2 linked regions of the Drosophila melanogaster genome follow. The protein of the gene in region 2 purifies or fractionates together with the protein of the main gene of each other region. This does not show direct contact. Each region holds a gene or a part of one and is shown on either strand. Other genes may lie near its edges.

Region 1 (4,042 bases), on a different chromosome or scaffold from region 2:
TTTATTTACAATGCTTTCTATCTATTGTAAATCCCAAACGATACCGAAATACTGCAGATCAGCTCTAATTTAGTTTTTCATCCTAATCCTAACAATAATTTAATAACTCTTCTATCCAAAAAGTAGACTTACTGTATTTGAATCCAATTATTTTTGATTATCGTGCTAAGATGCTATAATAATATGTCTAAATATATATACAAACATATATATATATATATTTTGCATTATGATTATACAATTTTTGTTAGCGTTAACTATACAGAATGTTAAAAAAAGGCGAATTGAAAACTGAAACTATAGGAAGTGTACACTGGGTGCGTCTTATGAATAAAGAAAGACAAAAGAAAACCAAATAATTTATCGTTGAATTTTGAACCATTTGGAAAAGGTTGATGGCTTTTGTGGCGTGGTTTTTGTATTTATCTAATCGCTTCTGCATGTAGTTTGCTGTTCGATTTTAAGATACGAAACCAATTTTGATTAGGCCAATGCGTGAAATTGCTTTAGCGATTAGCACAATCACTAAGTGGTTATTTAAAAACGACTCATTTTCTGAACAGTAAATACATTTTATTTTTGTTAAAACGAAGCACACACCAACAAAACGAGCACACGTCATCTAGTCTAGAAAACACGATACAAATAGTTAAAACCCTAGCACGGCAATAATAAAAAAGTTCAAATGCACATACAAATATATATATAAAAATGAATGATAATACGGGAATTGTAATATATGAATAGGCTAACCATGCAAAACAATCGCACATTTTGATTAATTATAAAAAAGTGATTTAATTATGGGCACTTGGGAATACTTTAAGGGCAGCGGGACAAGAGAGATTTCACTTGGACTCCACTTGCGATGTGGCCTTGGCCTTATCCTCTCGAGCGCATTTGCGTATAACACTATTGAAGTACTTGTGCAGAGCGTAGCTAACTATTCGCAGTGGTCCCAAAACTATGGCGTGCAGAAGATTGGTGAAGAAGCCATCCCAAGGAAGCAATGCTCCACCCAAAGTGGTGATCAGCCAGCTTTCTGCTCCAACAGTTGAGGTGAATTTTCCCTTCTACAAATAAGAAAAAGTATTCTAGTTAGATTGCGTGAATATTAACTATGGGTAACAGACTCACCAGGGCATCCTTAAGTATAGCTTTCGCCATAACTTCCGGCTCTATGAGACCTCCTCCACCAGAGATTATTTTGGTTTCCCTGGGCTTTGACTTCTCCTCCTCCTCGAATCCGGGTGTATTCGTATCGCAGGGCATGGCCAGAGTGACGCTGACCCCGTGCTCCCGAGACTCCATTGCAATCGTTTCAGCCATCGCTCTCAGGGCGTACTTGGTGGCTGAGTAAGGACCGTATCCATAGATGCCAAACATAGCCGCCTGTGAGGCAGTGATTACAATAATGCCGTCGCCGGCTTTCTTCATTTTGGGCAGGACATAACGGGTGCAGTTATAGGTGCCGAAGAAGTTTACGTTCATCAGCTTGTGGACATCCTGGACTGAGACCTCCTCGAACACACCGCAAATGGCCATTCCGGCACAGTTTATTAAAGTGTATATGGGGCCGAAGCTATCTTCGATCTCGCCAAGCACTTTGGCCACCTGGTCATAATCGCCGCTTATGTCCAGACTTCTGTACTGGAACTTTTGATCTGGCCGCTGGCGAATCACTTCCATCAGAGCCACTGCTCCGCCTGCAAAAAAGATCGTATATCAAAGATAAGAGTATTTTGGGTGGGGTTTCCTAGCCAGAACATTACTCACTCAGCATTTTCTCGTCGCGCGCTATCACCGTCACATTGGCGCCTTTCATGGCGCACTCCACCGCCAGACAGAGTCCGATTCCCTTGGAGCCGCCGGTGACCACCACATGACGACCCACAATGCTCCTCGGTTTCTTGGCCATGACGAACACGTAGACCAGAACATGAACCAGCACCGCAATGCCCACGCAGAACACTATCTCCCAGCTCAGTTCCATGATGACAATTTCAAGAGGGTGCGATAATTCCCGGATTCTCTAATCTCTTACGCTGGCTTATCTGCACCCAAAGTTAAACGTCTGATTAGAAAGTGCATCTAAGTGTGACCGTTGACGCAAACCGGATTTCTATCGAAAGCTTTCGACGCACATCAGAGATGCAAATGTGGCTATAAGCGGCCAAGCAAATATTTTGTTCTTCAAAACTTTTTGTTTAATTTTATTCATAATAAATTAAATGTGCAATGGCTACCCATATGAATCAACAACATAAATATTTACTAGATCTTGAAATAAAGTGGTTTGATAAAAAAGGTTAGATCTTAGTGCGCAGCACTGACCGCATGTGTCTGCTCCAACCAAACTGTTTACTTGTTTCGAATTTGCAATTTAAAAACATTGAACGAAAATGCCACCGAAAAAGGATGCGAAGAGTGGAAAGGATGCAGGGAAAGGTGGCAAAAAGCCAGCCGCCGAAGACAAGTGTAAGTGCTTACGACTAAAGCAAAAATCCTATCCTTCAAATGAATTTTGCCATCTGCAGCTGCCGGTAAGGAGAAGAAGGGAGGCAATGCTGTAAAGGTTCGTCACATCTTGTGCGAGAAGCAGGGCAAGATCACCGAAGCGATGGAGAAGCTAAAGGCAGGCCAAAAATTCCCCGAGGTAGCGGCTGCTTACAGCGAGGACAAGGCGCGACAAGGCGGCGATCTCGGATGGCAGATCCGAGGAGCGATGGTGGGCCCATTTCAGGACGCCGCCTTCGCATTGCCCATCTCCACTGTCAACAATCCCGTGTACACAGATCCCCCGATTAAGACCAAGTTTGGCTACCACATCATCATGGTGGAGGGAAAGAAATGAACATTGATTTTATAAATCGAATTTTAATGTGATACGGATTTTGTTTCTTTTCATTTGTGGGTTCCCGAAATCCCGTTCACTTCTTGCCCGCATCTTCCTTCAATCCCACAGTGCGGTTGAACACTAGGTGGTTCGCACTGGTGTCAGGATCTACGGAGAAGAAGCCAATCCTCTCGAACTGGAACTTGTCGTAAACCTTGGCCTGGTTTAGGGCCCGATCCGCGAATGCCACCACCACCGACATGGATTGCTCACTGATGTCGCTCAGGAAACCGCCGGGCACCTCGTTGGGATCCTCGGGATTCTTGTGCTTGAAGAGCTGCTCGTACAGACGCACTTCCAGCTGTATCGGCTGCGATACCCACTGGACAAAAGCCTTGGGCTTCTCGGCCTGCTCGGCAGGTTGGCTGGTGCAGATTAGTTCCACCACCTGACCAGTCGCCGGATCCTTTACTATCTCATCCACGCTGATTACGAGACCCGCGTGCCGGAGACCCACAGATTGCTTCGGTGCCAGACGACGGTATCCCTTTTCAGGCTCCAACTTGAAGTCTCCCTGCTCAATATAGATCACCTTGTCTAGGGTGATCTTATGAGTTCCTTGCTGTGGGTTTTGCGGGAAATCAGGCACTTCTAGCTGCACGGGCGCTGCATGAGGGAAATTCTTTATGGTAACTTTGAGCGGTTCCAGGACAACCAACCGACGGGGAGCTGTAACATTTAGCACATCCCGCACTGCTGCCTCCAACATGGCGGGGTCGACGGCGATCTGGGCACCCGTTACGCCCATCTGGGCGCAGAAGTTGTTGATGGCCTCTGCTGGGAAGCCTCTACGTCTCAGAGCCGTCAGAGTAAACAGCCTGGGATCGTCCCAGTCGTGGACAATCTGCTCCGTGATCAGCTTTGCAATCTTGCGCTTTGACACAAGTGCGTAGTTCATGTTCAGCCTACCGTATTCCCACTGCACCGGGCAGTAGATACCCAAAGCGTTGCACAGCCAGTAGTAGGAGGATCGTCTCGACTGGAACTCCTTGGTGCACAGTGAGTGGGTTATATCCTCGAGAGAGTCACAAAGGCAATGAGTATAATCATACGTGGGGTAAATGCACCAGTCAGAGCCCGTACGGTGGTGTGAGATAAACTTAATGCGATACGCCACCGGGTCCATCTTGCCCTCCTCCAGGGTGA
Region 2 (3,973 bases):
ACACAAACATATATTATCGCTAATTCGGAGTGAGAACCTGACGAAATGGAGAACGTCGGGAGAGAGATTCTTAACGAAGGTCAAGAGAAAACGAATTCTCAATAATATGTTATGATAGTGGAAAGCATTCAAACAAATAAAAGCAATTCCATTGATGTTTATATTTACTCAATGGGTATATTACGCGTGGAGTAAAAGGGTATAATAGGTTCGCTGAACAGTATGTAACATATAGAATAAAGTTTATATTTAGACTTGATCAGCAACACTAGTCAAAACGATCCATCCAGCCATATCCGTCCGTTTGAACGTCGAGATATAGGGAACTAACTGATTCGTTATGTTACATACATACTTTCCAACTAATTTAGTATACCCTCCTACTCCAGGAATAACGGGTACAAAAATAAAGCATGAATCATCCAAATTGATTCCATCACTTTTACAAAAAAAACAAAAGAATTTGACCATTTTTCTTTAGTACTGAACACAGAAATGCAACAATGTTGATCTCAAAATACAAATTTTAGATTAGGTAAAGCTTTTTTGGGAGCATTTCTTTATTTTCAGCTTGTAGAATCCGTAAGAATTCTACAATTCAAACATAAATTATTACATTTTGCGTTAGTCTTCATTATGATAAGCTATTAAAATAATAAATTATGAAATGGCGAGGGATAAACTAATGGTTGCTTAATCAACTTTGGTTGAATTCACGCCGGTCCACTTCTCGCTCTCCGCCCAGAGGAACTTTCCAGTCTTGTCGTCCTGGGCAGCTGCGGACACTTCCTTTGGCTGGCAGTCGCTAAAGTAGAGCCCGGAAACATCCTTTAGTGCAGGATCCAGGGCTGCGTAGAGAGTGGTCTGCGCTCCATTGCGAGGGGTTTTGAAGAGTACCCACAGGAGGGGCTTGAGCAGTAGCCTAAGCGATACGAGTGTTAATATCAAACTCAAGTAGTGCCCACTTATGTCTTCTATCTTACTGTGCAAAGGGGTGTTTCAGGAACTTCCAATTCCTCGACAGCTCCGTGTCCACGGCACCGGGATGTAGGGAGTTGGTTGTGACCCCCGTTCCCTCCAGGCGCTTGGCCAATTCCCGGGTGAACAGGACGTTGGCCAGCTTGCTCTGACTATAGGCACCGATTCTGCTGTACGACTTTTCACTGTTTAGGTCGGCAGTTTTAATGAAACCTTGGGTGTGCACCAGGCTGGAAACGTTCACGATGCGACTGGGTGCAGTTTTCTAGTGAGATTAAGCAGGGAGTTTGGTTAACAAGGTGCTAAGAAAGTCCTGAGTACCCAAAATACCTTCAATACGTCCAGCAGCAAGTGGGTGAGCAGGAAGTGTCCCATATGGTTGACTCCCAACTGCATTTCGAAGCCATCCTTGGTCAGTGTTCTGGGACAGTGCATAACTCCTGCATTGTTTATCAGGACATGAAGCTTATCCTGCTCTTTCTTGAATCTAATAAACGAGGGAAATCAGTAACGCATTCGTCGATCTATCATGTTTGCGTTTACCCAGCAGCGAATTTGCGAATGGATTCCAGCGAACTCAAGTCCAGTTCTCGAGAGAATATGTTCTGGTTATTTGTCTCCCTGATAATATCCTGGCGCGCCTTCTCGCACCGGTTCATATCCCGGCATGCCATGTACACAGTGCCTCCTCGCTTGGCAATCTCCAGGACCGTCTCCTTGCCAATGCCCGTGTTGGCACCGGTGACAATGAACACCTTGCCGGTCTCATCGGTCTGCTTGGTGAACTGACCGCCCTGCATGTATTTTCTGAAATTCATTAATTCTTATCACTCTATTTCAACACAGGCCGCAATTCACGAGCGTATTAATCATTACTCAGCAGTAGAACTATTCCATGCAAATACCTTAGCAAGTAGGCAGCCAGTCCGATAATGGACGGCCAAAAATGAGGGGGCAGCACAAGCAATTAGTAAGGCAGCCCATTTTGTTTGGATACAGTATAGATCTTGCCGCCGTTTGTGTTCGTTTCACTTGCTGGTTCTGTCAATGAATGTTTGCCCGTCCGTTTGGAACTGCCTTTTATACGAAATGTACGCTATCTGCTCCAAAATACACGAAAGCCACAAAACGCTTACTCACGATGAGTTTGATTCGAAACTGCGAGAGAACGAAATATGTTTGGGGTTTGCTGAGAGCTTTTTGCTTCTAGTTTATAAAAACCTCATTGCAAGTCGAGCAAATGCATGATAAGCTAAATAACTATCTGCAAGTCTAATTTAATTAATACCTAATCTTATAATACCATATTATTCTATTATTATTATTCTTATTTATATTCTATTATTTTCGATTAGTTTTTCACCTGCTTCTATGACAGCTCATGACTTAAACCGAAATCATATATTGCTAAATAGTTCAGATTCTAGTGACGCCAAGGCAACGTTAACTAAATGTTTATTTAAAAAATGCAATTACTAAATCAGTTTATTTAAGATTACTCAGATAACTGGTTCCAAGACTTCCAGCCAAATGTTTTTAAAATGTTTGTAATGTTTTTACAAAAGTTGAACAGAACATCTAGCTCATTTAGCTTATTCTATTAAATGTATTTCAACAATACAGGGTAAGAGTTAAAAGAGTCATAAAGTTGCTCATATATTAATTCCCGTCCACTTTTCACTTTCCGCCCATAGGAATTGGGCATCATCGTCATACTGGGCGGCCGAGCCCACGTGCTTCTGCTTGCAATCGCTGAAGTATCTTCCAGATACTTTTTCCAAACTGGGATCCAGGGCAGCGTACAGGGTCGTCTGTGCGCCATTCCTAGCCGTCTTTATGAATATCCATATAATAGGGGCTATGAGCAATCTAAAGGCGAGCCGAAAGTTAATAGCTGATGGGATGATGCAATCAGCAAACTTACTTTCCAAACCACGAACCCAAAAAGGGTGTATTGCGGAACAGTTCCGTGTTTACTACTCCGGGATGTAGGGCATTTACCGTGACCCCTGTTCCGCTCAGGCGTTTCGCCAACTCCCTGGTGAAGAGGACGTTGGCCAATTTGCTCTGACAGTAGGCCATCTTTCTGTCATAGGACTTTTCGCTGTTCAGGTCGTCACGCTTAATCCTTCCGAAGCGGTGAGCAATGCTGGACAGGACCACAACGCGACTGGGCGCGGAACTCTTCAGGACATCGAGAAGCAGAAGTGTGAGGAGGAAGTGGCCCATGTGATTCACTCCGATTTGCATTTCAAATCCGTCCTCCGTCAGCATTTTGGGGCAGTCCATAATGCCGGCGTTGTTGATAAGAATGTGAAGCTTGTTTTGCTCCCGCTTAAAGCTAAAAAGTATTAAATTGAGTACCTTTATTTATATGTGTATTCATTAAGGTCAATAGGAATGTGCTTACCCAGCAGCGAAGTTCCTAATGGACTTCATGGAGCACAGGTCCAATTGGCGTGCGAAGATGTTCTGGTTGTTGGTCGCTTTGATGATCTCCCGACGGGCATTCTCGCACTTCTTCATGTCCCGACAAGCCATGTACACGGTAGCTCCCCTGCGGGCCAGCTCCAGAACGGTCTCCTTGCCAATCCCCTGGTTGCAGCCGGTCACAATCGCCACTCTGCCGGTCTCATTCGTTTTCGTGGTGAACTGACCTCCCTGCATATATTGTCTAACTGGCTGAGGTTAAAGGGCCATCACTGAGAGTGGACAAAACTCACCGGAGCAGATAGATTCCGATGGCCGAAAGAGCTGACCCATATGCCAGCGGGCAGAACAGGTAATCCGTGGGTGCACTCATCTTTCCGCTCCGAATGCTACCAGCTCCAAGTGGCGACTGGCCAGATCCAGTCCCCTTACACATTTCTTTATACGAGCAATATCAAAACCTCGGAATGTCCATACTTGAAACATTAACGTGGACCGGTATAAAACATCGTTTTAAGTTTAAGGTTGGAGGGTTTACGATTGCCGCGTCGCCGAGGGAAACGGA

The links. The genes of interacting proteins can lie anywhere in the genome.
Region 1: the proteins of CG2065 (region 2) and Kdsr purify together in Drosophila melanogaster (affinity purification with mass spectrometry, with the first as the bait; one large-scale study listed by BioGRID). This does not show direct contact.

What each region holds. Positions count from the first base shown.
Region 1 is NT_033777.3:25,260,408-25,264,449, forward strand, and holds Kdsr (3-ketodihydrosphingosine reductase), read right to left. Parts: upstream 2,092-4,042; 5' UTR 1,994-2,091; coding exon 1,777-1,993; exon of another isoform or gene 1,775-1,776; intron 1,707-1,774; coding exon 1,138-1,706; intron 1,074-1,137; coding exon 849-1,073; 3' UTR 556-848; downstream 1-555. Other genes in the region: CG11858 (uncharacterized protein), read left to right, coding at 2,403-2,478, 2,538-2,854; GlnRS (Glutaminyl-tRNA synthetase), read right to left, coding at 2,931-4,042.
Region 2 is NT_033778.4:7,661,845-7,665,817, reverse strand, and holds CG2065 (uncharacterized protein), read right to left. Parts: upstream 2,033-3,973; 5' UTR 1,884-2,032; exon of another isoform or gene 1,855-1,883; intron 1,786-1,854; 5' UTR 1,779-1,785; coding exon 1,522-1,778; intron 1,466-1,521; coding exon 1,309-1,465; intron 1,244-1,308; coding exon 984-1,243; intron 923-983; coding exon 694-922; 3' UTR 549-693; downstream 1-548. Other genes in the region: CG2070 (uncharacterized protein), read right to left, coding at 2,631-2,847, 2,903-3,319, 3,389-3,652, 3,702-3,781.